Linked DNA regions of Oryctolagus cuniculus. The protein of the gene in region 1 purifies or fractionates together with the protein of each later gene. This does not show direct contact. Links are inferred from orthologs where the notes say so. Each region holds a gene or a part of one and is shown in the gene's direction. Other genes may lie near its edges. The genes, in order: TOP2A, TOP1, ZNF451 and CTCF.

What was found.
Region 2: the proteins of TOP2A (region 1) and TOP1 purify together in Homo sapiens (co-immunoprecipitation; 4 studies listed by BioGRID and IntAct, with this or other methods). This does not show direct contact. The link is inferred for Oryctolagus cuniculus from reciprocal best matches to the Homo sapiens genes TOP2A and TOP1.
Region 3: the proteins of TOP2A (region 1) and ZNF451 purify together in Homo sapiens (affinity purification with mass spectrometry; 3 studies listed by BioGRID and IntAct, with this or other methods). This does not show direct contact. The link is inferred for Oryctolagus cuniculus from reciprocal best matches to the Homo sapiens genes TOP2A and ZNF451.
Region 4: the proteins of TOP2A (region 1) and CTCF purify together in Homo sapiens (affinity purification with mass spectrometry; 3 studies listed by BioGRID and IntAct, with this or other methods). This does not show direct contact. The link is inferred for Oryctolagus cuniculus from reciprocal best matches to the Homo sapiens genes TOP2A and CTCF.

The regions. Positions count from the first base shown.
Region 1 is NC_091448.1:22,088,249-22,096,071, forward strand, and holds part of TOP2A (DNA topoisomerase 2-alpha), read left to right. Parts: intron 1-2,123; coding exon 2,124-2,215; intron 2,216-2,318; coding exon 2,319-2,483; intron 2,484-2,616; coding exon 2,617-2,700; intron 2,701-4,098; coding exon 4,099-4,281; intron 4,282-6,014; coding exon 6,015-6,105; intron 6,106-7,823. UniProt on the Homo sapiens protein: Key decatenating enzyme that alters DNA topology by binding to two double-stranded DNA molecules, generating a double-stranded break in one of the strands, passing the intact strand through the broken strand, and religating the broken strand.
Region 2 is NC_091442.1:17,812,281-17,818,973, reverse strand, and holds part of TOP1 (DNA topoisomerase 1), read left to right. Parts: intron 1-1,306; coding exon 1,307-1,434; intron 1,435-4,353; coding exon 4,354-4,448; intron 4,449-4,635; coding exon 4,636-4,785; intron 4,786-5,802; coding exon 5,803-5,905; 3' UTR 5,906-6,693. UniProt on the Homo sapiens protein: Releases the supercoiling and torsional tension of DNA introduced during the DNA replication and transcription by transiently cleaving and rejoining one strand of the DNA duplex.
Region 3 is NC_091436.1:112,425,862-112,433,684, reverse strand, and holds part of ZNF451 (E3 SUMO-protein ligase ZNF451), read left to right. Parts: coding exon 1-688; intron 689-2,464; coding exon 2,465-2,608; intron 2,609-4,242; coding exon 4,243-4,373; intron 4,374-5,576; coding exon 5,577-5,763; intron 5,764-7,823. UniProt on the Homo sapiens protein: E3 SUMO-protein ligase; has a preference for SUMO2 and SUMO3 and facilitates UBE2I/UBC9-mediated sumoylation of target proteins. Plays a role in protein SUMO2 modification in response to stress caused by DNA damage and by proteasome inhibitors (in vitro).
Region 4 is NC_091449.1:50,877,548-50,884,481, forward strand, and holds the end of CTCF (transcriptional repressor CTCF), read left to right. Parts: intron 1-306; coding exon 307-442; intron 443-3,531; coding exon 3,532-3,696; intron 3,697-5,092; coding exon 5,093-5,277; 3' UTR 5,278-6,587; downstream 6,588-6,934.

The DNA.
Region 1 (7,823 bases):
GAGTGCAGTGGAGGTTGGCCCAGGTATTTGGGCCCTGCACCCCATGGGAGACCAGAAGCACCTGGCTCCTGCCTTCGGATCAGTGTGGTGCGCCTGCCGCAGTGCACCGGCTGCAGTGGCCATTGGAGGGTGAACCAATGGCAAAGGAAGACCTTTCTTTTCTCTCTGTCTCTCTCTCTCTCTCCCTGTCCACTCTGCCTGTCAAAAAAAAAAAAAAAAAAGAAAGAAAGAAAGAAAGAAAGAAAGAAAGAAAGAAAGGAAGGAAGGAAGGAAGGAAATGAAAGTCTAGGGGAGGGCTTGCCTTTTTTTTTTTTTTTTTTTTTTTTTTGACAGGCAGAGTTAAGACAGTGAGAGAGACAGACAAAGGTCTTCCTTCCGTTGATTCACCCCCCAGATGGCTGCTACGGCCAGCGCGCTGCGCCAATCCGAAACCAGGAGCCAGGTGCTTCCTCCTGGTCTCCCATGAGGGTGCAGGGCCCAAGGACTTGGGCCATCCTCCACTGCCTTCCCGGGCCATAGCAGAGAGCTGGACTGGAAGAGGAGCAACCGGTGGAGGATTAGCCAAGTGAGTGCGGCGCCGGCCGGGGAGGGCATTTGACTCTGTAGTGAAGACACCACTTGGGACACTCACATCCCACACTGGAGTACCTGGGTTCAAGTCCTAGCTCCAGCTCTCCATTCCAGCTTCCTGCTGATGTTCACCCTGGGAAGCAGTTGGTGATGGCTCAAGTACTCAGGTGTCTGCTGCCCACATGGGAGATCTAGAATGAGTTTCTTGGCTCCTGGCTTCAGTGTGGCCCAGCCCTGGCTGTTGTGGACATTTAGGAAGGGAACCACTTCATTTCTGCGTCTCTGCCTTTCAAATAAATGCAAGCAAATTTTAAAAATTTTAAGGCCTTAAAAATTTAGAAACAACAAAGTCAGGGTTTAAGTGACCAGGAAGAAAACAGTCTCAACAAGCAAGTCTCAAAATATACTAACACAAGTGACTGATCATCAAAGGCTAATTTTATGATGGTAAATAAAAATATTTAATAGTTATATGTTCATTTTCATGTATAATTAAAGAAATCACACTGGCATTATAGCCCTCTTATTTCACAGATGTTATTGCTTAAGGCATGGCTAAAGTGAGTAATACTGAATATGATTTGAAGAAAAAAGTTTATACTCAGTGACTGGAATTCAGGAAATACTAGCAACTGTCCAGTCTTCCTGATAAGTGAATATTAGAGGGCCTAAAGTTGTAATCTATGTCAAATTAACTAACAAAAGGTGGTACTCCAAAACTCATACTCTAGCTGGTAACTCCCAGTATACCTTCAAGTGTAATAAATAGACTACAGAAGACATTGAAAGAGAAGTATTACAGAAAAAAGGAGCAAATACATCCTGGAGAACCATGGTTAAGAGAAATCAGCATTTGGTTGGGTGGTACTAAAACTTGCCTGGTCAAGTTTTAAAATAAAAACCAAAGGGTATAATTGAGATAGAGTCTTATCAGAAATAGAGGTTTTGTTCTCTTCTGATCTTACAAGTTATTAGAACTTGACCTCATGTGATTTGACTGCCCCCTTGTGGTAATTTCCATTTGTCAATGAATTAGGAAGACTTGTCTATTATATCAGGATATGCAAATATATACAAGACAATATAGCTTAATTTCCAGTTTTACTCTTTTGGCTTAGTGTAGTAAAAAAAATTTTTTTAAGATTTACGTATTTGAGATGCAGAGTTACAGACAGAGAGGTCTTCCATCTGCTGGTTCACTCCCCAAATGGCCACAACAGCTAGAGCTGAGCTGATCTGATCTGATCAGAAGCCAGGAGCCAAGAGCTTCATTTGGGTCTTCCACGTAGGTGGCAGGGACCCAAGCACTTGGGCCATCTTCTACTGCTTTCCCAGGCCATTAGCAGGGAGCTGGATCTGAAGTAGAGCAGCTGGGACTTGAACCGGCACCCATGTGGGATGCCGACACTGCAGGCAGAGATTTAACCTACTATGCCATGGCGCCAGCCAACGTAGTGAAATCTTGTCTGTTTTCTGAAATATTGCTGAAAACCATTATCTTCCGCTGTCATGGAAAAACTTTTTTTTCATTATCTTTGTTTATATTTTAATAGAAAATAAGCCTAAGAAAGAATTAATTAAAGTTCTGATTCAGAGAGGATATGATTCGGATCCTGTGAAGGCCTGGAAAGAAGCCCAGCAAAAGGTACTTTCTTGCTTAGCACTTGGTTTCATATATCATTAAAGACTTTGTATAATGTTTATGTTTTACCTTTCTTATTAAACCTACCTTTTGATTCATACTTTAGGTCCCAGATGAAGAAGAAAATGAAGAGAGTGACACTGAAAAGGAAACTGAAAAAAGTGACTCTGTAACAGATTCTGGGCCAACCTTCAACTACCTGCTTGATATGCCCCTTTGGTATCTAACCAAGGAAAAGAAAGATGAGCTGTGCAGACAAAGAAACGAAAAAGTAAGTTGTTGATAGGACATGGATGTTGCATATTACTTAATTTTGCTCTAATATTAAGACTAAAGCTTGTGTGCTGCATGAAAATCTATTTTTGTACATATATATTAACTCAGTTTCCTGATTATTTATAAAGGAGCAAGAGCTGGAAACATTAAAGAGAAAGGGCCCATCAGATTTGTGGAAAGAAGACCTGGCTGCTTTTATTGAAGAACTGGAGGTATGTGGTTTATAATGCCCATGTTAAAATGTTTATTAATGAAATCATGTAGTCTAATAATATACTCCCTTAACAAGAAGTTACACAGTTAGCAATAGAAAGAATATAAAGGATATAAGGACACATTATAAATAATATATAAGAGAACAAATTATTAAATAAAGTCAATGTGCTGGGAACCCGGTTTTTAGACAGAGAGAGGAAAGGACGGAGTTGGTTTTTGATAAAGGGAAGGATCTGCTGCAGCTAAGAAGAGCAAGACAGCAGGAACGTGGGGACAAGCTGCGGCCTCCTGGTCAGCGTGAGGACAAGGCCAGCTCGTCTTCTGGGCTCACCAGGTAGACAGCCTCATAAGATCCTTTGCTACAGTTTTATAAACTTAATGCACATGTTTATGCATAAGCTTTAGTGTAAATAACCAAATCATTGTAGTCAGTGGACTGGATAAGTGCATATTACTGATATCACATCCTTTCTTATATTTGCATTTACAGATACATGTATATGTTCTATCCTTAACTCAGTTTCCCCCTTTTACCCTCAGAAAGGTTGAGTGGCAGAATCAGGAAAATAATCCAATCTGTCCCTACACTTTTCAAAGTGACCATTAATCATATCTTTACTACTGTGGTATGGGTTTTTTGGTATAGAGAGAGTTACCCTGTTCTCTGGTTCATTCCCCAAATGCCTACAAGGGCTAGGGTTGGGCCAGGCTGGAGCCAAGAACTGGAAGCACAGCCCAGCTCTCCCACACAGGTGGCAGGGATCCAACTAGCTGAGCCATCAGCAGGCCTTTCTGCACTAGCAGCAAGCTGCAGTCAGGAACCAAACCTAGGCATGCGTGGTGTGGGGCGTGGGCTCTTTACCACCGGGCTGAATGCCTGCTTCTTATCTCCACTGTGCTTGATGTTATTCTTAGTTGTTAAACAGATTACCACAAATTTATCTTAAGATATAACAAATTGAGGCCGGCGCCGTGGCTCTGTAGGTTAATCCTCCGCCTAGCGGCGCCAGCACCCCAGGTTCTAGTCCTGGTCGGGGCACCGGATTCTGTCCCGGTTGCCCCTCTTCCAGGCCAGCTCTCTGCTGTGGCCCAGGAGTGCAGTGGAGGATGGCCCAGGTGCTTGGGCCCTGCACCCCATGGGAGACCAGGAGAAGCACCTGGCTCCTGCCTTCAGATCAGCGCGGTGTGCCGGCCGCAGCAGCCGTTGGAAGGTGAACCAACAGCAAAGGAAGACCTTTCTCTCTGTCTCTCTCTCTCTCACTGTCCACTCTGCCTGTCAAAAAAAAAAAAAAAAAAAAAAAAAAAGATACAACAAATTGAAATCAGTATAACCTGATACCTTTTAGATAATTGTGATGTCTTAGCTTATAATCTTACTTATATCCCTTTGGTAGGCTGTTGAAGCCAAGGAAAAACAAGATGAGCAAGTAGGACTTCCTGGGAAAGGGGGGAAAGCAAAAGGGAAAAAAACACAAATGGCTGAAGTTTTGCCTTCTCCACGGGGAAAAAGAGTCATTCCTCGAGTGACCACGGAGATGAAGGCAGAAGCAGAAAAGAAAATCAAAAGGAAAATTAAGGTAAACTCTTGAATGTTAAATATAAACTAAGTATATTTTTGCTTAAAGTTGAACAAATTATATTATTAAATTTCTAACCCCCATCGTTTAGAATTTACTATACATCTAAACCATAACTTTCCTTTCTTATTGTGCCTGGTTGTTGTTTATAAGAACCAACTCTGTGTGTGTGTGTGTGTGTGTGTGTGTGTTTAATTTGTTTATTTATTTATTTATTTGAGAGTCAGAGTTACACAGAGAGAAAAGGAGAGGCAGAGAGAGAGAGGTCTTCCATCCGCAGGTTCACTCCCCAGTTGGCTTCAACGGCTGGAGCTTCGTCGATCCGAAGCCAGGAGCCAGGATCTTCTTCCAGGTCTCCCACATGGGTGCAGGGGCCCAAGCACTTGGGCCATCTTCTATTGCTTTCCCAGGCCATCGCAGAGAGCTGGATCAGAAGTGGAGCAGCTGGACTCAAACCGGCACCCATATGGAATGCCAGCACTGCAGTGGTGGCTTTACCCAATACACCACAGCACTGGCCCCCCAACTGTTTTTGTTTCTTTTTTTTTTTTTTTTAAAGATTGATTTGTTTATTTGAAAGGCAAAGTTACAGAGAGAAAGAGAGAGAGATTCCATCGGTTGGTTCACTCCCCAGATGGCCATAAGTCAGGAGCCTGGAACTCCATCCAGGTCTCCCACATGTGGTAGGGAATGAATACTTGGGCCATCTTCCACTGCCTTCCCAGGCACGTTACCTAGGAACTGGATTGGAAGCAGTTCACATGGCATACCAGCGTCCCAAGTAAGCAGTTTAACTCCTTGCACCACAACACTGGTCCCCTGTATTTTATTTTTAATTTATTTGAAAGATAAGGAGAGACAGAGACAGAGATCTTCCATCCATTGGTTCACTCCCCAAATGCCCACAATGGCTGGGGCCAAGCCAGAAGCTGGGAGTCCAAAACTCAAGTCTCCCACATGGGTGGACAGGAACCCAACTACTTGAGCCATCACTTGCTACCTCCCAAGGTACACATTAATTAGCAGGAAGCTGGATCAAAAGTGGAGGAGCTAGGACTCAAACCAGGCACTCCCAATATGCAATCAAGGTGTCCCAAGCAGCATCTTAAACAAAACACTGCCCCATGATTGCTTTTATTTTCATGTTTAAGAATCATGAAAAACTCACACCTATACATTTATTCAGAGCTTTTAACCAAAACCCAAGGTAAACAATAGCCTTTGGTCAAATAAAGGAGCTCCAAAAACTAGAAAATGGAATTTAAAATATTGCAAATCAGGGGCCAGTACTGTGGCATAGCAGGTAAAGCCACTGCCTGAAGTGCTGGCATCCCATATGGATGCCAGTTTGAGTCCCAGCTGCTCTACTTCCGATCCAGCTTCCTGCTATGGCCTGGGAAAGCAGTAGAAGATGGCCCAAGTCTTTGGGCCCCTGCACCCTCGTGGGAGACACAGAAGAAGCTCCTAGCTCCTGGGTTCAGATCGGCACAGCTCCAGCCGTTATGGCCATTTGGGGAGTGAACCAGCAGATGGCAAAGCTCTCTCTCTCTCTCTGCCTCTGCCTCTCTGTAACTCTGCCTTTCAAAAAATAAAAATAAAGTCTTTTAAAAAAATATTGCAAAATTTCCATGGACCTATGTGAAGCTCCTCTGCAAATATATATATATATGTATTTGATATATAGTATTCTAAATAATAAGGTGACAGAACTTAACTGGTTTTTACTATCTTAGAGTGAAAATACTGAAGGAAGCCCTAAGGAAGATGGTACAGAACTAGAAGACTTAAAACAAAGATTAGAGAAGAAACAGAAAAGAGAACCAGGTATAATAAATAACATTTAGGGAAAATGGTATAAAGTTAAGATTAAATTGTGTTTGTTGTCTAGTAAATGCACATAAATGTTCAAAATGCTTTTGTTGAGTTGAATTACTAACTTGAAGGAAAGCTATGTCTGACGTATACTTGAATTTTCCTTATATATTGACCTTTGGATTTGATTCATATTAGAAGAGATCATTTTGGAATGAAATAGTTTAACATTGTAATTTGAATTCCTTAGTTGGGAATCTAAGAAAACAATGATATGCCACTTACTGGCCAATTTCAAGATTCTAGTATATAAATCTTTGAGAAGAAAGATTCACATACCAATTTCACCCATTTTAGGTGTACCACTCACTTTTTTTTAGCAGAGCCAAAGAATTTCATAACAACTTATTACCCTAAAAAGAAGCACTGTATCCATTAACAGTACTCATTATTTCCCAAAACACCCTCTCCCACTAAGCAACCATTAAAAAAAAATCTGACTCTAGATATACCTATTCTGGATGTTTTCTAGAAACAAAATCAGATGATACGTGGTCTTTTGTGACTGACTTCACTCAGTTGACAAGTTTACAAGGGTCATCCATGTGTTAACATATATCAGTTTTTTTGTTTAGTTTTGTTTTTTAAGGTACAGAGAGAGAGCTCCCGTTCATTAGTTGACTCCATCACTACCCAGGGCTGCTGTTAGGAGCTGAGAACTCCGTCTCAGTCTCCCACTAGGTGACAAGAAGTACCTGTCTGCACTATCGCCACTACCTCCCTGGGTCCACAGTGGCCTAAAGCCTACCATTCTTTCTTTTTTGATTGCCAAATAGTATCTGGCAACATTTGGGACTAGAGGTATTTCATATTCCAGAGTTTTTCATATTTTGGAATATTTGCAGGTTTTTTTGCTTAAGTATCTATTATCTGAAATGCTCCAAAACCTAATTTTTTTAGGTTTTTCCTACCCTTTTTTGACCAATATTTTACTTTTTTTATTAGAAGTGTGTGTGTGTGTTTGTGTTTTAAAGATTTATTTATTTGTTGGAAAGGCAGACTTACAGAGAGGCAGAAGTAGAGAGAGAGAGGTCTGAGAGACAGTAGGAGAATTAGACAGATAAATACTACCCAAATGCCTGCAAGGGCCAGGACCAAAGCCGGGAGCCAGAAATTCAAAGGCCTCCCATGTGCCTGGCAGAGTTTACGTGAACCATCACCATTGCCTCTCAGGCTATACTGACTGGCAAGAAGCTAGAGTTAGGAGTTGCAGCCAGGATTAGAACCCACATATTCTGTTACAGTATGTGGGCATCTTAACTGCTTGGCTAAAGAAACACCTAGTCCTAGAAACCTGAAATTTTTGAGTGTGTTCAGAAACCTTCAGATTCTCAAGCATTTTAAATTTCAATTTTTTAAAAAAGATTTATTTATTTGAAAGGGTATCAGAAAGAGGCAGAGACAGAAAGATCTTCCATCTGTTATTTGTTGGTTCACTTCCCAAATAGCTATGGCTGAGCCAAGCCAAAGCCAAGATCCAAGGACTCCATCCAGGTCTCCCATGAGGGTACAGGGGTCCAAATATGGACCATCCTCCACTGCTTTCCCAGGCATGTTAGCAGGAAGCTGGATCAGAAGCAGAACAGCCGGGACCCCAACATGGGATTCAGCACTGGAGGTTGCAGCTTAATCCACTGTGCCATGATGCTGGTCCCTAAATTTCAAATTTG
Region 2 (6,693 bases), on another chromosome or scaffold:
CAGTCACTATTAAATTTCAACTGCCTTCCATAAATATGTTAAAGTGTAATTTTATTTGGATGACATCTATAATTTGAATTTCTTTTTTAAGATTTAATTATTGGGTGGGAGGGAAGTTATTGGGGTGGGGGAGCCATTGTAATCCATAAGCTGTACTTTGGAAATTTATATTAAGTAAAAGTTTTTAAAAAAAGATTTAATTATTTATTTGAGAGGCAGAGACACAGAGAGAGGTCTTCCATCTACTGGTCCATTCCCCAGGTGGCCGCAATGGCCAGAGCTGTGCTGATCCAAAGCCAGGAGTTTCTTCCTGGTTTCCCATGTGGGTGCAGGGGCCCCAAGACTTGGGACATCTACCATTTTCCTAGGCTATAGCAGAGAGCTGGTTTGGAAGTAGGGCAGCTGGGTCTCGAATTGGCACCCTTATGAAATGCTGGAACTGCAAGCTTGGCTTTACCTACTATACCACAGCACTGGCCCCAGAAATCTGTAAGTTTTAAATAATAATAATATACTGCCTGTGGCTTAGAAATGTAAATCTAAGCTTCCTGTGTCTCATTATCTTTACAAACTTCTTCTGTTCAGATTCCACATTTTCTTCATTTTCTTGTGTGTGGAAGTAAGGAATTAGGCAAGCAGATGAAGAATCTCTGACAAAATACCTTGGGCAAAAAGAAAGATGTAGTTTTCATAATACCCAAAAGACCCAAAATCCTTATGATGGGAAAAAAATCCAGTCTAAACTTAAATAGAAAGTTCTTGCTGTCATTCATAACACATTTGCCTCAGATTTTGACTCTGTCTTGAGTGCAATAACTACCGGTAAAATCTTGGGGAAGACACATTATGTATGTTCTTTTGGCATATAAATTCTTAAAGGTATAAGGACAGAAATCATCATGGGCAGAGAGGGCTTACAGATTCTAAGGATGACTTTCCTTTTCCTCCCCCCCCACCCCCGCCCTCTTTTTTTAAGATTTTATTTATTTATTTGAGAGATAGAGTTACAGATAGAGGGGGAGACAGAGAGAAGGGTCTTCCATCCACTGGTTCACTCCCCACATAGCCGCAACAGCCATAGCTGGGGAGCTTCTTCCGGGTCTCCCACATGAGTGCAGGGGTCCAAGCACTTGGGCCATCTTCCATTGCTTTCCCAGGCTATAGCAGAGAGCTGGATTGGAAGTGGAGCAGCCGGGACTAGAACTGGCACGCATATGGGATGCCAGCACTGTAGGCAGAGGATTAACCTACTGTGCCACAGTGCTGGCCCCAACATATAAACTCTTCATTCTTCTTTTCTTTACAGCGGATGAGAACATCCCAGCAAAGATCCTTTCTTACAACCGTGCCAATAGAGCTGTTGCAATTCTTTGTAACCATCAGAGGGCACCACCCAAAACTTTTGAGAAGTCTATGATGAACTTGCAATCTAAGGTATTTTGGATATGGGGTATTAAAGTGAATGAACCTTGTCTGCTGTCGGCAAACCATCTGCAAATCAGAATTTTTTTTTTAATAGTCTATCCTTTTATGATGCAATATTATCAGGCCAGTTCTGTTCTGAAAGAAAGGTCCATGCTAAAAATAAACAGGTGGAAATATTATAATGGTTATTATCCCTGTCAGGATTCCAAATATCAGGATACCTGTTGTTCAGGAAATCTGATCTATGGATAGAAATTCCACATTGGCCACGTGTTGTTTTCAAAAGCTAACTTTGATGTACCCTCTAATTGCTAATTGTTGCATGAGGAAAATAGTTATAAAGAATTTTCATAGTTCTTGCCACAGCTCAGAAATACAACTATTTCCAAACTAGATTGTTTCAAATAGAAAAGATGATGAAACAATGATATTTAAGTTCTCAGTAGTCCTAGCACAACTATTTTTATTGTTACACGTTCTACATGAATCATATTTTTATTTATAGTTCATCATCAAACATCTGTTGAATACTGGCTGTGTGCCAGACAGAGTTGCTGCCTTAGAGGGAGAGACTGACGTGCAAACAAGGAGATGCTGTTCCTCTTCCGTGTGCCTTTCTCCTCCCTACAACTCTGCCTGGTACTGAGCTTTTAAGCCACTAGGCACTTAACATTTGATAATGAGCATTTCTGTCTTTGCAATAGCTGCATAACTAACCCATCCTAGTTTGCTAACTCACAGTGAGCATTTACAGATATTTCACTGTAGAATAAACACACAGGGTTCCAGAGGAAACCAATTATATCAAATACAGTTACTAAATGTATGTAAAGTCTTGGTTCTGAGTACTGTAAATTTCAAGGTAGTAATGAATATAAATATTAATTCAGGATTTTTGTAACAGTTGTGATATGAAAATATGACATTTATTGGTGGTAATAACAGGTACTACTGATATTATTATAGTTCATTGCCCACATTAATATTTAAGAAGAAATACTAAATTTCAACTAGAGGTTAAGGAAATTACAGTGTGTGTTTTTTTGGTTTTTTTTTGAGCCAAGTTTGTGAAATTTAAAAACTGGTTTTATGGAATGTGACTTGTACATTTTCAGGCTCAGAGTATATTCCTTCTATTTATTTCTCAAAGATAAGTATCCAGAAGTAGTACATCTGGGTCAAAAAACAGATACAGCCTATTTATGCTACAGATGCCATCTGGCTGTCCCAAAGGGCTGTACATGTCCATGATGAAGGAATATACGTGACTAAAAATCCTTGAACCATGTTGGTGGGCAGGGAACTTTATATAGACTGTCCATCCTAGTAGCACCCATTTGCTGCCACTCCATTAGCTGGTGGTCATCTAGTATTGTTTATTCTTTTCATGTTATTCCAAACCAAAAATAAAAACATAAATATTCAAGTGCTATTTACCTAATTCAGGAGACCCTCCCTGGAGCATGAGGAGGCCTTTTGTTGCTCTCATTCTGAAACCACTGTTTGGGCAGCCCAGGCTGCCTGCCAGACGAGCCCTCCAAGCCCAGGAACTCCTGTCCTATGTGCCCACAAAGCAAACACACGCCCCTGTTCTCCAAGTGAATCAATGGATTCTTTGACGCTTTGAGAGAATTTGACACAGCCTGCCAATTTAGCATTCACATAAATGGTTAAAAGATTGTGGTTTGCTGCATTTCTAGCCTGAGAAAAATCTGGCTTGTGGCATCTGTGATGCTTTTGTATTTAGAATCTATTCCCTCAGCTTGGCTTTGGACAACATAGATGTTGGAAGCGAGCCATTCATAGTAAAACATATTTAATGATTCTCTCACAATGATGGCCTCTGTTTTTAGTCATGAGCTGTGTGTGTTTGTGTGTGTGTGTGTCTAATAAACAATTCTAGACTCTGAGCAGTAGGCCAGTGTGTGTGAATCAAGCATGTATTTATTTTCTCTGTGGAGGTTCTGTTGACCTCACAGGTCAGCAAGGTGACTGCAGCTCTGGGGTTCTCCTGTCCCTAGCAGTTTGAGGCCACTGGTTTGGACTCTAGCTTCATGGCATTACCTGCTGTGGTTTCTAAACAAAAACCAAGAACTTAAATTCCAGAAATGCTTCAAGGATTCCAAAAAGCAAGAAAGACTCAAACAACTCTTATCTCTTCCTTTCCACCATATTTGATTTGAGGAAGAAGTGTCAAAAGTTAAATATTTTCATACCTCTTACTTTTGAGTTATAACTTCCCTCCCATCTCATCTCCTTTTCAAAACAGTGCCAGAACCAGGCCATGCTTGTATTGATTTGGGATAGACTGGCCGAGCTGCTTATTTCCTGTGTACCTTTTAATTGCCATATTTTTAGCTTCTTGGATATTCTCTTCAGTGCATTGTTTTTTCTTGAGAAGATGGCAGCTCTGTTGCAGAGTGCTGGTAGAAGCTGAATAGTGAAGTGCTCTTATTATTTGCAAGGATTATGCCTCAGCTTCTTCAAAAATAGCTCCTCCTTGTAGTGAAGCCCAGAAATTGGCACAGGACCCATTTGATAACAGCTGTCATCTCTAGCCCTTCTTATGATGCTCTGTCATTGAAAGATTAGCATCCAAAAATCCTGGTCCCACCAGGCTCTCTTCCTGAGCTTCTGGACTGATGAGGTCCCAGGTTATCAGTTCTCAATCAAGCCCTTTTTCTTGAAGGTTCCCTGGAGAAAATACATGAATAATAAACAGCCACTTAACTCAGCAGTCACTGTGTATTTCCTCTGTACTTTCATGAAGCCACTCTGGGTGTTTTTACCTGGCAAACCACCGAGAAAAAAAGAGCGAGCCTGCCTGCTGGAGATTGCTTCCAGGTTTCATCTTCTGTGATGGAGCCCTTCCCTTTTTCCTTTTTGGCTCACTTCACTCCTAACCTTACTGTGTTCTTCTCTACTCAGATTGATGCCAAGAAGGAACAGCTAGCAGATGCTCGGAGAGACCTAAAAAGCGCAAAGGCTGATGCCAAGGTCATGAAGGATGCTAAGACCAAGAAGTATGTACCTGGTACTGTGCAAAGTTGGGAGGGTTTATTATTAATCAGAGGTCTAGCCCCTCTAGGGACTTCTGGAATTTTCTGTGATTGGATCTTTTGTGGTTTTACTGCCCTGAAATGGCAGTGTATGTGTGTTTCTGTCCAGGAGCCAGGCCTTGTTCTTGATGACTCTGTTTGATTTTTCCAGGGTGGTAGAGTCAAAGAAGAAAGCTGTGCAAAGATTGGAGGAGCAGCTGATGAAGCTGGAAGTCCAGGCTACAGACCGAGAGGAGAATAAACAAATAGCCTTGGGAACCTCCAAACTCAATTATCTGGACCCTAGGATCACAGTGGCTTGGTAAGCATTGTGCATGTCTTGCTCTTCTGCTGACTGAAGATGGCGGAGGGGGTTCTGAGAGCATTGTGGGCTGCCACATGCCATTCTAAGCAACACACTTGTCCTCTGGGGAAACTTCTAACTTCTGCCGTGTACTTGGTGCTCTGGCTGCTAAATCTTGTCTAAATAACATTGGAACATCTTGGATGGTCAATACTGTTAGACCCACTTTGAGTGTATTTATTTTCTATTTTTCTAAGGTGGCTATCATCCTTATGAAATTTTTGGACAGGAATGGAAACTATTAATTTATTTCCTTGAAAGAGTTAGAGAGAGGCAGAGAAAGAGATCTTCCATCTTCTGGTTCATTCCCCAAATGGCTGCAACAGCTGGGGCTGGGCTGACCCGAAGCCAGGAGCCTGGAGCTTTTCTGGGTCTCCCACACGGGTGCTGGGGCCCAAGAACTTGGACCATCTTCTGATGCTTTCCCAGTCCATAACAGAGAGCTGGACTAGAAGTGGAGCAGCCAGAACTTGAACCAGGTCCCATATGGGATGGCAGCACTGCAGGCGGAGACTTTACCCACTGTGCCACAGCGCTGGCTCCAGGAATGGAAATCATTTGCCCTTACTGAAGGAAAAAATAGAAGAGCTTGTCCATCTACACTTTCATAACTTTTCAATGTAATCTTTGCAAGTTGAGGAAGAATGGCAGGAAAAAGTATAGAAATGAGAATACAGATCTGAACAACCTACACAAAAAGGTATAGCAAAGGCTTAAGTTCTCTGTGCCTGCACTCACACCTGTTCTAGGCCAGAGGTTCCACCCAGATTTTTTACCCTTTTTGCTTAGTTTGATGTTACAGGAGAGGTTTAGTTAGCTCTTAAGAGGCAGTATCTATGGTACAGTGGTAAAGAGCCATGCTGGGTTCAAATTTTAGCTCCACTACTTACTAGCTGTGGCACATCTGAACCTATACTTCAAGTCTCGGCCATTGCTCTCTGAATCACACTAATTCCCCTTCTCCTTTGTTTGCAGGTGCAAGAAGTGGGGCATCCCAATTGAGAAAATTTACAATAAAACCCAGCGGGAGAAATTTGCCTGGGCCATCGACATGGCTGATGAGGACTACGAGTTTTAGCCAGTCTGAAAGGGCAGGGTTCTGTGAAAAGGAACAGTGTGGTTTGGGGAAGATGGAAAAACTGTGAGCCTCACTTGCCCTCACACTTGAGGGAGAGAGGCAGCAAGTCTTAACAAACCATCTTTGCGAAAAGATAAACCTGGAGATATTATAAGGGAGAGCTGAGCCAGTTGTCCTATGGACAACTTATTTAAAAAATATTTCAGATATCAAAATTCTAGCTGTATGATTTGTTTTGAATTTTGTTTTTATTTTCAAGAGGGCAAGTGGATGGGAATTTGTCAGCAATCTGCCAGACAAATTCACTGTTTCACTGAAATGTTTGGATTCTCTTAGCTACTGTATGCGAAGTCCGATTATATTGGTGCGTTTTTACAGTTAGGGTTTTGCAATAACTTCTATATTTTAATAGAAATGAATTCCTAAACTCCCTTCCCTCTCCCCTGTTTCAGGAATTAAAATTAAGTAGAACAAAAACCCAGCGCACCTGTTAGAGTTGTCACTCTCTATTGTCATGGGAATCAGTTTTCATTAAACTTGAAGCCGTCGTGACATCGGCAGTGTTTTGGTTCAGACACCTATTCACAGAAAAGCATGATGGGAAAATATTTCCTGACTTGAGTGTTCCTTTTTAAATGTGAATTTTTATTTCTTTTTAATTATTTTAAAATATTTAAACCTTTTTCTTGATCTTAAAGATCGTGTAGATTGGGTTGGGGAGGGATGAAGGGCGAGTGAGTCTAAGGATAATGAAATAATCAGTGACTGAAACCATTTTCCCATCATCC
Region 3 (7,823 bases), on another chromosome or scaffold:
AAGACTTTTCATAAGGTAGAAACATTATACCGACATTGCCAAGATGAACATGACAATGATATAAAGCTTAAATACTTCTGTGGGCTTTGTGATCTTGTCTTTAATGTGGAGGAAGCGTTTTTGAATCACTATAAAGAGCGTCACAGCATAGATTATGTGTTTGTGTCAGAAAAAATTGAAACTTCGATTAAAACTGAGGAAGATTTTCCAGTAGTAGAGACCAGCAACCTGTTAACCTGTGGTTGTCATGAGAGTTACATCTGTAAAGTCAACAGAAGAAAAGATTATAGTAGATGTCTCCAGATGATGCTGGACAAAGGTAAACTGTGGTTTCGCTGCAGTTCGTGTTCAGCAACGGCACAGAATTTAGCCAACATGAATGCTCATATCCATCAAGTGCATGGGAAAGAAAAGAATGACGATGGGGAGGAACAGCAGTACATGATCAAATGTGGCACCTGCACCAAAGCATTTCATGATCCTGAGAGTGCTCAGCAGCACTTCCATAGAAAACATTGCTTCTTAAAGAAACCCAATGTGTCTCATTTTGGATCTGAAAAAGCAAACCTGTATAAGTTTACTGCCGCTGCCTCACGTATGGAGCGAAAATTGAAACAGGCAGTAAGCCATCCTAAAAATTCAGACATGGAGAAAGGAACTGATAATGACCTAAGCTGTCAGAATATAGGTATGGCTTTACAACTCTAGAAATTTCACTTTCTAATATATAAAAGTACATGCAGTGGACCCATCATTTTTGAGACTGCTGATGATTCAGTTGTGAAGCCAGATACGTGAGAGGATGATATTTTAGTCAGTTAATTATTCTGCGGTATATACTTTTTAGGGGTACATAGTCTTACTACTTCACTTTCTAAACATAGTATATGTTGTGTTTAAGTAATGTATTATAGATATTTTCTTTTACAAAAGGAGATTTTGAGAGATGAAGGAAGTTGATAATCTTACTGAAAGTCAGATTTGAAAGTTATTCTGGTCATTATCATCACTTAGATTTTTCTAAAAATCTTACATTGTTCAGATATATTTAAAAATCTTGCAAATATTTAGATATATTAAAAAGATAACCTGATGAATTCTTTTTGTTTCTATTGTCCTTATCTTTAAATATGACAAAAACAGTTTTGGCATTTGTATATATTTCTGTTATGATTTATTTGGAAGCAAAGCTTTTAACAATATAGTTAAAAATAACAATTAAAAGTAGAGTTAAAAGTAGTAGTAAGAAATCATGGGTAAAACAGATTTGAATTCTCTTGTACTTAATCTGATTTTCCTTCTTCCATGTCATAGGTTAATAAGTCTAGAAGAGTGTAATGTTTTAATTTTGTTTAGAAGATAACTGTTTTTTGTTTAGACTATAATTTTAGGTCTGTATCCTTTAAGTAACTTTTAATTCAGTGAGTTATACAATGAACCATTGAATTTATGTAACTTTGCTCATTAGCATATCTGATCTCAGCATCACCTTTAATTAAAGTATGTTTTCAGTGAGAAAGAATTAAGTCATATATGACCCACTCCAAACAGTGGTCACACCATTTTATATTCTCTAATGCATTTTTCAGCTCTTTTGAGTACTTTTGGGAATTTGTGTTAATCTGTTTGACAGAGATTTTGGAATCTCTAAATCTATAATTGCTGAGAACTGGGAGAAAGGATGTAAGGTAGCTTAGAAATGAGAGAGTATATTTGAAGGAACCTCTATTAGGCATAATAGAATCTATTCTTTTTAAAAATAACTTAATCTTTTTAAAGTTTGCACTACTGTGGCTGGAAACTTTTAAGGCCATGTCAAGGTCTAAAAGTATGAAGCAAGGCAAAGAGGAGGGAGAAAGAGTTGGAGAATGAGGGAAGATGAACTGAGATCCTGAGAGAACCAAGATATGTTTATGGTGGGAGATGTTAATGTGCCACTGGCACCTATTTCTAGCACCACTTTATGGCAACAATGTTGTAGGTTTTCTTATTTCTGCTCTCTTGGGTGTTTAATCATAGAGTCAGTCTAGATTAATAAATCAGTATAGATTGGGAAAAAAAAAATTCCGGTGGCAAGAAGTTTCTTAGCAAGTAACCCTGGAATTTTACATTGATGAATGATACAAGTTTTTGGTTATTTAACTTTAAAAATAGATCTTCTAGTTCCTAGAGTACATTAATTTAAAAAAAATTTTCTTTTACAAATGACTACTTAAAAGCTTTAGCATCAATGGCAGATATTTGTAGAAAAGATATATAATCAAAATTCTGAAGTGCTTTCAACATTATCTAAGTGAAAACTATGTCTATACAGATACAGGTAAAATGAAAAGGTTTAAATTGAGATGAATCACTTGTAAGGTTAATAGTTTTTGCCTGTTATGCTAATATTTTTTAGATTTGAGAATTAGAATGTTTATACCAAACTTTTACTGAATTCATGTTAATGTTTCCTTTTTCTCAGAAGAAGAAATTGTTGAGCTTCCAGATTTGGATTACTTGCGAACCATGACTCATATTGTCTTTGTAGATTTTGATAACTGGTCAAACTTCTTTGGTCATCTACCAGGGCATCTTAACCAAGGAACATTTATTTGGGGCTTTCAAGGTATGATTAATAAGAAAAGCCTTTTCCCCTATCACCCTTACAGTATGATTAACTTTAAAAGACTCCTCTTGAACTTTCCTGAATAGATCATAAGACCATAAATAGAATATTGTGACTTTGCAATGTAGTTACTTTCCTAGCATATTCTCTACATGTCTCCATAGTTAACATTAGCTCTATTTTTGTTGACCAATGGTTTGCAGATCTTAAGATATATATTATAAAAGGGTTTATTCAACACCTACACTGGGGCTGGCTTTGGAACAGTTTAAGCTGCTGCCTGCCACACTTATGAGTCCCTGCTGCTCGGTATCTAATTCACCTCCCTACTAATGTGCCTGGAAAAGCAGCAGATGATGGCCCAAGTACTTGGGCTCCTGTCACCCACGTGGGAGACCTAGATGGAGTTCCAGGCCCCTGACTTCATCTTGGCTCATTTGTGCCACTGTAGCCGTTTGGGGAGTGAACTAGCAGATGGAAGATCTTGTCTTCTCCTTCTTTCTCTTTAGCTGTTTTTCAAATAAACAAATAGATGAATAAAAAATTGTTTTTAAAAATATACCTATAGTATTCCAGCACTGTTGCTTGGTACTAACGTGGATATCAATTATCATTTTTTGTCTTTTAAAGTAGAAGAAAGTAAATGACAGTGTTAGATTTAAAACTTTGGCTTCTTAGCTACAGGACCATTAGTATTTTCAACATGCCACAACTGCTTCCACAGTTCATTCTTGCTGTTTGTAGTGTGCAGCTTCATCTAATCCAAATCTTTTTACAAACCATTGATTTACAGAGGTTTAGTATGTGAGTATCTGATATAGTTCATGTGTGATAGGCAGTAGCATGTAAAGAGGAGGATTGGAATTAAAGATAGAAACATACTAATCTAGATAAGATAGCCATTATAATGTTTTAAGTCTAGCTCTGCTGATTTCCTGTGTTTTTATTGACAGAACAGCCTTGGCATAAAATAACAAAATGTTAATGGTTGTTCAAGAATTTTCACACACACATGTGTACCTGCTTGCACACACACAGAAATACACATACACTCTCACACTCATTCCTTTTGATTCTGTTTTGTATCCCCATGAATTTTCAGATGAGAAGGCAGATTCAGGGAAGTTGATCTTTCCCAGGATGATGATTTCTCTGCTAAGACTGAATTCTTCTTCTTCTTCTTTTTTTTTTTTTTGTTTGACAGAGTGGACAGTGAGAGAGAGAGACAGAGAGAAAGGTCTTCCTTTTCCGTTGGTTCACCCTCCAATGGCCGCTGCGGCCGGTGCACCGCGCTGATCTGAAGCCAGGAGCCAGGTGCTTCTCCTGGTCTCCCATGCAGGTGCAGGGCCCAAAAACTTGGGCCATCCTCCACTGCACTCCCGGGCCACAGCGGAGAGTTGAACTGGAAGAGGGGCAGCCGAGACAGAATCCCACACCCCGACTGGGACTAGAACCCGGGGTGCTAGTGCTGCAGGCGGATTAGCCTATTGAGCCGCAGCGCCAGCCTCTCCTACATTTTTATCTAGTACTTTCCCTCTAGAAAGATATTTTTTTAGTTTAAGTTTTCATTTGATACTAGTTTTAGTCTTTTCTTCCTGTTTTACTGTCACTTATGCCTTTTCTAAAACTTACAGGAGGAAACACCAATTGGAAGCCTCCACTCAACTGTAAAATTTATAATTACCTGAACAGAATTGGATGCTTCTTCCTTCATCCTCGCTGTAGTAAAAGAAAAGATGCTGCTGATTTTGCCATATGTATGCATGTGAGTCATTATTTTATTCAAAATCTAATGGGAATCTAAGATGACCTCCTTAAATTTTTTTCCCACTTGAATTGTAATGACAATGTGTAGATCATTCTTTAGTAGTATATTTTTGTAATAAAACATTCTGTATCAGTATTCTACTAGTGAGAACAGGAGCCCATGGCATTTTTCCTTTTTTTTTTTTTTTTTTAAAGATTTTATTTATTTGAAAGCATTACAGAAAGGGAGAGACAGATAAATCTTCCATCTGCTGGTTCAGGCTCCAAATGGCCACAACAGCTGGAGCTGGGCTAATCTGAAGCCAGGAACCAGGAGCCTCCTCTGGGTCCCCTATGTGGCTGCAGGGGCTTGAGGTGTCTTCTGCTGTTTTCCCAGGTGCATTAACAGGGAGCAGGATTGGAAGTGGAGCAGCTGGGACTCAAACTGGTGCCTGTACGGGATGCTGGTGCTACCCGCTACGCTGCTGCACAAGCCCCGCATATTTTTTTTGGCTGCTTTGTCCCCAACTCCTAGCAGACCTTCCACTGACCTTCCACTGTGCATAATAGACTGTCATCTGTGTTAGGAGTAAATAAAAGATAATCTGTGCTGAACGTGTACTGAGACAGTTTTAATTTAACATCTCTGAAATTTAGAGATACTTTCACAGTCACTGCTAATGTTGATGTTTATTTCTGTCTGCCAGTCACATAGAGAAACTGCCAACCCAAGACGTACTTTAAATTAAACTCTCTGCTTGAGAGCTTACATTTGTCACACTGTTAATGTGAATTTACTCTGCAGACTTGTTGACTGCTGCTTATGATTTAAATTGCAAGAGATTTCTTTCCATCTTATCCAGTACCAAGATTGAAGTATGCAAAATATTTTGCTTACTTTTTCCTCTATGGCAGATTTATTTCTTAGTTACACTTACTATGGCTTTCCAGTTTAATGTGGGAGCCCTCCTATGGGAGTTCTATTTTAGGTTTTTCTTTTTTTATTAGTGGCAGATAAAGTAGTTTATTTTATAACTATTGGATGCTTATATGTAATTAAATGTGACATTTCATTAATGAAGGGGTCTTTATATCAAACTCTGTGGGAGGTAGGGAACTAGCTTAATTTGCCTTCTTAGGTATGTGTTCACTATGAAATAGATTTAAGCGATTTGAGACTCATGCTGATTTTTATCAATCTATGCCATTTGTTCCAACTTAGGCTGGCCGTCTAGATGAACAACTACCCAAGCAAATTCCTTTCACCATCCTCTCAGGAGATCAAGGTTTTCTGGAACTAGAGAATCAATTTAAGAAGACTCAGAGGCCAGCTCATATACTAAACCCTCACCACTTAGAGGGAGATATGATGTGTGCCTTGTTAAATAGCATATCTGATACCACCAAAGGTATGCAGCCGCAGTCACAGTGCAAACCGCCCAAGAGGAGGAGACTTCACTGCTGAGAAAAACCAATAAACTGCTGTCCACTAGTAAACAGTTGCCTGCTCACATGCTTCTATCTTACTGGTCTTTTCCTTATCTCGCTTTCATTCTTTAGTGTTTTAGAGGAAAGCTTTTAATGCACAATAATGTTTTGGAGATTTTTTTAAGCTATTAGATAAAATTATATTTATTGGTATATAAAATAGATATTGATGGGTTGAAATATATATTACAATTCAGATTTTATTTTTTTCCTGAAATTCCATTAGTTTTTTAGAAAGCAAAGTCTTTTAGGTGAAAACCAAAAAGTAATAAGTCATAATATAGCAATACCAAGAAAAGAGAAAGACCATTTAAGAGGTTGATAGTGAGAAAGTAAAGTTCTGATAGGCTTTTAGGTTCTTGGAAGGGATGAGTAGCTCCTGTCTTATTACATTGCTGGGACTGGCACTCTCTTTTCCTCTTTTGTGGAATGGGTCCATGAAAAGAATGCTGATGACCAGTTTCACTGACCAGTACTGAAGAAAGGATATAATTCTAGGGATTCATAAGTTTTTGTTTTTCATAATTTCTCAAAGGAATTTGAGCATAAGAGAATATAAGAATAGTTAATTTTTGAATTATTAGTATTTGAAACCACAAATAAATAAGAATGGAAGAAATTGATGAATGACCACAATGAAAAATAGTGGCTACTTTTTGTCATTTTTATTGTTTGCCTTTCACTTTTCCAACTCTGCTTCCCTCCACGCTATTTTTTCTTTCTGTATATTTGGCACCATATTTTGATGGAAGGCCCATTATGAAAAATTTTGCTCTAATCACTTATAATGGATTGATTATCTTGAAATTAGGAGTCAAAGATCTGTTAGCCCAACTGGATTCTTTAAAGGAATGTGCAAGATTATAAAGGAAAATGAGCCTTATATAATACTTATATTTTAATAATGAATGTTACCTTCTAATTCTGTAATTTTTCATCTACTTTTTATTTTGAACTTACTTAAAAAGCTTTCCCCCACCTCACTCTTTTGCCATTCCTTCCCCAAACCTTGGCAACATCTATTTAATATCTTATGAAATACTTAAATGTTTACTTTTATCATACTAGTCTAATATTCTTTTCCTTCTTTTATGCTACTGTTTTGGGGAACATTTCATTTATAAGTTACAGTGTGAAACCTATTATGGCTTGCTTTGTCTCTATTTAAATTCTGTTTGTAAGAAGAGCTGCATATGAGTATGTGTACATGAATATATTAGGGTTTATGATTAAGATACAGGTTATTAATATCTGCTGATCAGCCTTTCTGACTGTCCCTTATGCTATAGGGGTGTGTGTGTGTGTGTGTGTGTGTGTGTGTATGTATGTATGTGTTTAAATCATCCACATTCAGTACTCATATGAACTTAATAAATCATTCACATCCAGTACTCATGTGAACTTATTGCCCTTTTGAGGCACTATATAGTTTATGCTGGATTTTTGTGAAATGCAGAGATCCCAGAGTGCATAAAGAAAGGCATGGTCTTTTGTCAAATGCTAACTTTGCTGCTTCTTAGTTGTGCGGTTACAGGCAAGTTACTTGACTTTTTCTGAGCTTCATTTTCATGTCTATAAGGTTGTAAAAGCATGTTTAGGTACTCAACAAATAGTAGCTATCTTATTATTACCACTATAGAAAATAAATGTGATTCTTAGCCTCTACTTTTTTTTTTCATGTAACAAATAGTTAAAATGAAGTGGCCAGAGAAATCTAGAATTTTTAAATCAAGAGGTTTTTATCTTTTATCTAGTGAATTGTGTAATACTTTTGTAACTAGAATTCAAAGTTAAACTGATTTGTAAGTATGTTCAAATGTAGTTATCTATTGAAGACAGATATTTTTTCTTTATGGAGTATTTACTGTAGACATTAAATTGCCTTATAGTGAACTTTATGGTAAGACGTCAAAGAAAAATCACTTTCTTGGGTAGCTCTTTATTCCACCACTTTTCCTAACAAAGGTATTTGTGGATAGCA
Region 4 (6,934 bases), on another chromosome or scaffold:
ACTTGTCCCGCATTCACCCCTAGCTAGCTTTAGTGTGCCTTGTGTCCGCCCCTGGGGTCATGTGATTAGTCACACCTGCCAGGACAGGAACTGATCTCATGCCCCACTGTCCTGTCTGTCTACAAGCTGCTGAGTCTCCCCTTACAGGACCCAACCTCATCTTCATCCATTCTCTCTCTCTTGCTTTTTCTGTTTCTCTCAGAACTGACAGGAATAGTATGATACCCCAAATTTAACTGAAAAAGAACTTCCAGTCTGATCTAAGCTTTTTTAGTAGTGTGAAAGAGGATTTTGTTCCTTTTGTAGAATACCATGGCAAGGCATGCTGATAATTGTGCTGGTCCAGATGGTGTAGAAGGGGAGAATGGAGGAGAAACAAAGAAGAGTAAACGTGGAAGAAAAAGAAAGATGCGCTCTAAAAAAGAAGATTCCTCTGACAGTGGTAAGTGACTTATTAATTGATTTGGTTCCATTTTATTTGACTGATTGTGAAGCCCAGTTTCCAATAGATTTACATATGGCTACATCATCATGTAGAGGTGGACAAATCACACTTACTTCCTCTAAACTTTTGTTCTTCCCAATACAACAGCAGTTAGTATTTTGAGGGGACAAATTTTCATTTGTTTTTTCCTTACCGCATTTCAGGGCTTATTGATGTCTTACATGCTATGTTCAATTAAACCCAAAGTGAAACTAATAAATATTCAGTTTACTCCGGTCAATATTCTAAGATCAGCAGAGTTTTCTATGCTCATGACTTTTATATTTGCAAAGCTGGTCTAGATTTGAGCAGTGAATTTAATGTAGGACATGAAAAAGGGAGCTTAAGATTCTTAACTTTTCCTTTGCCTGCCTTTGGCAGCCAGGTCTTGAGATGGTGTTGATCAAGTTAGTGAAAGTCAAGCTTTCACTTCTACTTCAGTCTCCCCATTTGTAAGTTAAAACCTTGTCTATTCACCTACCATTGGTGCTTTTGGGGGTGTTTCGTGCCTTTCTGGGCCTAAAAATCCAGGCAGGAGGTGTGCTTAGAAGAACATACTTTGGTTCAGGACTTTGTGTCTCTTTATGTCCCCAGAAAATGGAAGTGTGGACTGGATCCCACTGCTGACAAGGGCCACTCCATCTTATTTGTCCTGTCCCAAAGCTGTGCCTCTTGGCCATCTGCAGAGACTGATCAGCAGTCTACTGCTGTGTTCACAGCCTTCTGCCAGAATCTCACCAAGTTAATAATAAGCCTTCAAACCAGTTAACTTTTGTGTGCTTTCTTCTGCTTATTATTAACTTGGTGAGATTCTGGCAGAAGGCTGTGAACACAGCAGTAGACTGCTGATCAGTCTCTGCAGATGGCCAAGAGGCTTGCGGGAGACCCTGAGGAAGCTCTAGGCTCCTGCTTTGGCCTGGCCCAGCCCCAGCCATTGTAGCCATTTGGAGAGTGAGTGAATCAGCAAATGGAAGATCTTTCTCTCTCTGTGTATGTGTGTTTGTTTCTTTCTGCCTCCATAACTGCCTTTCAAATTAAAAAAAAAAAAAAAAAAAGTTGATGCTGCAGAAATTACCCAAGGAAACTGAGTGTCAGGGTGGTCATGTGTCTCTTACGTAGCTCCTTGTCCGTATTTTTCCTGTAGTAGTTTCTTCACTTTTATTTACCATTTATTTCACCAAGAGTAGGGTATAGGGAGAATCTAATGGAGATAAGAATGGCCTGTTGTGTCTGGTACATCTGGGGATTAAATTAAGTCTTGAATATGTGGCCTTTAAAGAAAATTACCAATAATCCCCCAAAGAACTCTGGCCACTCAATCTAGTAAATAAGTCCTCACAATGCATCAAGAATTTCTGTTTGGCACAGCCATTAGACACCACTGGGGTCACCCACGTCCCATATTGGAGAATCTGGTTCCAGCTCCAGCTCTGGATCCTGTCCAGCTTCCTGCTGATGTAGACCCTGGGAATCAGCAGATAGCGTCTCGAGTACCTGAGTCTGTGCCTACCTGTGGGAGACCCAAGTGAAATCCTAGGCTCCTGGTTCCAGCCTGACCTAGCTCTGGCTGTTGAATGAACAGATGGAAGATCTACCTATCTATATATCTATCCCTCTATCTCTCTTTCACTTTGCTTTCCAAATAAATAAAACTTTTTAAAAAATATTTATTTTATTAATTTGAAAGAGTTACAGAGAGGTAGAGACAGAGAGAGGTCTTCCATCCGCTGGTTCATTCCCCAGTTGGCCGCAACAGCAGGAGCTGCGCCAGTCTGAAGCCAGGAGCTTCTTCTGGGTCTCCCACGTGGGTGCAGGGGCCCAAGGACTTGGGCCATCTTCTACTGCTTTCCCAGGCCATTGCAGAGAGCTGGATCAGAGGAGGAGCAGCAGGGCCTAGAACCAGCGCCCATATGGGATGCTGGCACTTCAGGCCAGGGCTTTAACCCACTGTGCCACAGCGCTGGCCCCAATAAATGTTTTTAAATTAAAGAATTTCTGAGGCCAGCATTGTGGCATAGCCAAATAAGCCATAGCCTGCAATGCTGGCTTCCCATATGGATGCCAGTTTGAGTCCCAGATGCTCAACTTACAATCCAGCTCTCTGCTAATGCACCTGGGAAAGCAAGTGGAAGATGGCCCAAGTGCCTGAACCCTTGCACCTACATGAGAGACCCAGATGATGCTTCTGCCTTCTGCCTGCCCCAGCCTGAGCCATTGTAGCCATTTGGGCAGTAAACCAGCAGATGGAAGATCTCTTGCTCTGTAACTCTGCCTTTCAAATAAATGAAATAAATCTTTAAAAAAATTTTTTTATCTTGCCCCCAGATACACAGTCTTTCCCCTGCTCAGATGAGGGGACCACATCTGCACGGGTTCCTCAGGCTCAGGAGGAACAGGGTCCTGTTTTATGTTGCTGTGGGAGACAGGGGACATTTGTTTCATTTTTAATTTCAACATGGTTTTTGTAGTATAGTTATGTAACTGATATAAGATTGGGTTGCCTGTAACAATTTAAAACTCCATATTCTGAGGTCTAAATCTAAAAGGGATCACTCGTTTACTTCCCACTACAGTGGCCTGGGGCTGGGCCAGGCTGAAGCCAGGGACCTCAGGCCATTGTCCACTGCTTTGCCAGACACATTAGCAGGGAGCTGGATTGGAAATGGGGTGGCCAGGACTTGAACCTGCATTCATATGGGATGCTGGCGTCGTAGGCACCAGCTTAATCTGCTGTACCACAACACTGGCCATCAGTTCACTGCTTTAATGTTTATAGCAAAACTTCCAGCAAAAGCTTTTTAAATGGTCTTTTCTTAACAGAAATACATAAAACATGTCCCTAAAAAGTTCATGAAATTGTTTGACAAAACATTGCGTGGATTTCAGAATTTTTTGTACCAAAGTAGACTTAAATCTTTTAATTCCATTCACTTACGAACTTTTTGAAGTACCCCCATAACAAGACTCCACAGAGTATATAATTTTGTGGTGGTTGTTGTTCCCCACTCTTCTCCCTGCCCTACCATCTGTGCTTCCTGTTTCATGAGAAGAAAACGCTGAGCCAGATCTGGATGACAATGAGGACGAGGAGGAACCTGCTGTAGAAATTGAACCCGAGCCAGAGCCTCAGCCTGTGACCCCAGCCCCACCACCCGCCAAGAAGCGGAGAGGACGGCCCCCTGGCAGAACCAACCAGCCCAAACAGAACCAGCGTAAGTTTCCAGTTTCCATTTGGCAGGCTGGCACCTTCCCCCCAGCATGTGAGGGTGCCAGACGGGGCCTTGTTTCTTTGAGGGGATGGGAACGGAGCCACGAGAACAAGTTATTAGGTCACAGTGGGAACAGATTCTTCAGGAAGTGATTCGTTAGGTGTTTTTACTGAGGAAGTTCAGAGGCCTGTTACATCTCAAGGAGGAAGAGTCCAGAGTAAAGGGTACTCGTGTTCTCCAAGGTGGGTGTTGCTGTTGTGGGTGGGTTTTAGAAGACCACAGTCACAGTCTGCTGGCAGAATTGCTCCAGTGCTGAACCGTAAAAGAGCCAGTCACAGAGGATGAGGTGCACGCAGTTTCTGTGCTAGGATCGCCCCTCCTGCAGAGGGGCGTGTGAATCCAGGTGTGTTCGGGCACTGGCCTCCAGCTCACCTCACAGGTGACGGCAGTCTATAGGGGATCACAGGTTGCATTCTGCTAGCCACATGGCTCTCTTGACAGTTGGAACAGCTTCTGAAAGCTGACCATTTTTTATAAACAAATGGATGTTTTAATCTATTTTTTAAAGATGTATTTATTTATTTGAAAGAGTTAGAGGGGTCTTCCATCCGATGTTTCACTCCCCAATTGGCCGCAATGGCAGGAGCTGCACCGATCCGAAGCCAGGAGCCAGGAGCTTCTTCTGGGTCTCCCACGTGGGTGCAGGGGCCCAAGCACTTGGGCCATCTTCTACTGCTTTCCCAGGCCATAGCAGAGAGCTGGATCAGAAGTGGAGCTGCTTGGTCTCGAACTGGTGCCTATATGGGATGCCAGTGCTTCAGGCCAGGGCGTTAACCTACTGCGCCACAGCACCAGCCCCTTAATTATTTTTTGAATGTTCTCCCTGAGCTCCAAGAATAGAGTTCTGTCAGAGAAAAGGAGGTTAAGTGCAGATCTTAGAAGCAGCTCTCCGGTTTCTTCTGCACACACTGGAGTGAGCAGACAGGTGGGAGGGCCTGGGTGTGGGAGAACTACAGAATCAGAAATGTCCGCTTGTCGTAGGTGTGTCACCTACGTCACACACTCTTCAAGTAGCCTTAGTCACATGCTGTCTCATTTCTTGCCTGCATCTCATAGTATCAATTTCTGACTTAAAACTAAGGATTTTTACGTGTAACTTGGGAGGCGTGTGAACGTGAATGTCAGCCTTTTGTGCTCTGATGGTTTTCAGAGAACTGGGACTCTGTGTGTCCATGTTCTGGGTCTCTCTAAGTCTCTGCTTTATTGACTTTCTCCGTGTCACTACTAAGGCTCCCTGTATGTTGCTATCCCGTGGACTGCACTGTGTAACAGGGTCTTGTACTCCTGGGGGCTTTAATGTACCTTTTGTTTTGTTTTGTTTTGTGCTCCTCTTTGCCAGCAACAGCCATCATCCAAGTTGAAGACCAGAATACAGGTGCAATTGAGAACATTATAGTGGAGGTAAAAAAAGAGCCAGACGCCGAACCCACGGAGGGTGAGGAGGAGGAGGCCCAGCCAGCTGCCACAGATGCCCCCAACGGCGACCTCACGCCTGAGATGATCCTCAGCATGATGGACCGGTGATGGTGGGGCCTTGCTGGGCGCCGGGACTGCTCTGGGCTGTGTTTAAACGGCCCACATCTTAATTTTTTTCCCTTTTTTCTTCTTTTGGCTTTGGGAAAAGCATCATTTTTACACCATTTTACCAAACAAACTGAGAACGAAAACTTCAAGGATGATGTTAGAAAAATGTGATTTAACTAGAACTTGCTGTTTGATGTTAACAAATCATGGAATGTCTGAGTCCCTGCGGGTTTACTGTGAAGTGCTGAGGGCAGTGTTGACGCCTGACTGGTTTCTGAGACGGAAACAGAGACATTGGCCCCTCTCTCTCAATACGGTAAACCACTCCAGAATGGCTGCCGGGTTTCCCAGAGTTCTCTGGTCTTCTTCCCAAGAGAGTTTTTAATTGTAAATGCAGACTTGGGGAGGCCTTAGACTTTTAACCTGTTTTTTGCTTTTGCTTTTTCTCTGACTCCTTGCTCGAGTCAGCTGCACACCAGTAGTACGGCATGCTACGATCGGTTACTGTCCTGAACGCTTTGCCTCTTTCTTGGCAGAGTTTCTGGTATGGTCAAGCTTGTAAATAACTTTTTTTACATTTTAATCTTTTCCATTAATTAAGAGGTTGAAAAGAAGTGCAGTGTGAGAAAACCCAGCATTTTAATTACTTGCAAATTAAGTTGCCACAGACTTGGTAGTGTGGAATTATTAAAGGAATTGGATCACAATCATGTAGCAGATCGGCACCCAGCCTGCCGCCCGCTAGTGACGAGCCTCCACATGGAAGATCATGATTTCCAGCCCATGGAGCCAGCATTTGAACTTTGTACAATTAACCTTCAGTTATGATTTCCCATTGACATTTTCTTTGCTATGTTTAGCAGAATGTTGCGTTTTACGAATCCCCTGTCAGAGCCAGAGGGTGACTATGAGTGGGTCACAGCAGTCCTGACATGCTGGGCCAGAAATTTTCACTAGGTCAGTAATTTAAACTTTGGATCTTCAAAAACAAATAATAATGTGAAACAAAACCAACTAAAAAATGATTGTTGCACATGAACTGTCACACGTTGAAAATGTGTTTTTTAGAGAGCCTCAGTCTTGCTGATTTCAAACACTTTTTTTCTTCTGTGTATTGCTTTTTAAGAGAGCCATCAGTTAGCTATCAGACTCTAGGTTGATGCATTTTGTACTTAGCTGTACTGTGTGATATTTTTCATTATTTTAGGATGCCAACACGAGACCTGTAATAAAATATGTAATGGGGTTGAAAGCTGGGGAGGAGGATCTACTGCTGTACAGCTAATAAATCATAACGGATTAACAAGTGCTCCGAGGACTCTTGTCTTGTGTGATTCCTGCCTGCTGGCCCCCCGAGGGGCTGGCGCAGAGCTCCAGGCCGTGCCGGCCTCCGCATCTTAGAGGCAGGCTGTGTTCCTGGGATAGTGCTTCCTCTCGGGCAGAAGGAGAGGATCTTATCTTGGAGGATGTCAGGATTGTGAGTGCATCCTGCTGCACATTTAACTCCGCAAAAATGGGTGTGAGGAGAGCATCAAGTGGATGGGCAGTGGCCGGCCTCCGTGGTCCGCCCGAGGAGCGGGTGCCCGCTGCACAGAGCTGTGGAGTTGTAGTTGATGGGAAGCCCTGTCTTAGGATCTTGGCTCAGGGAGGCTGGGAC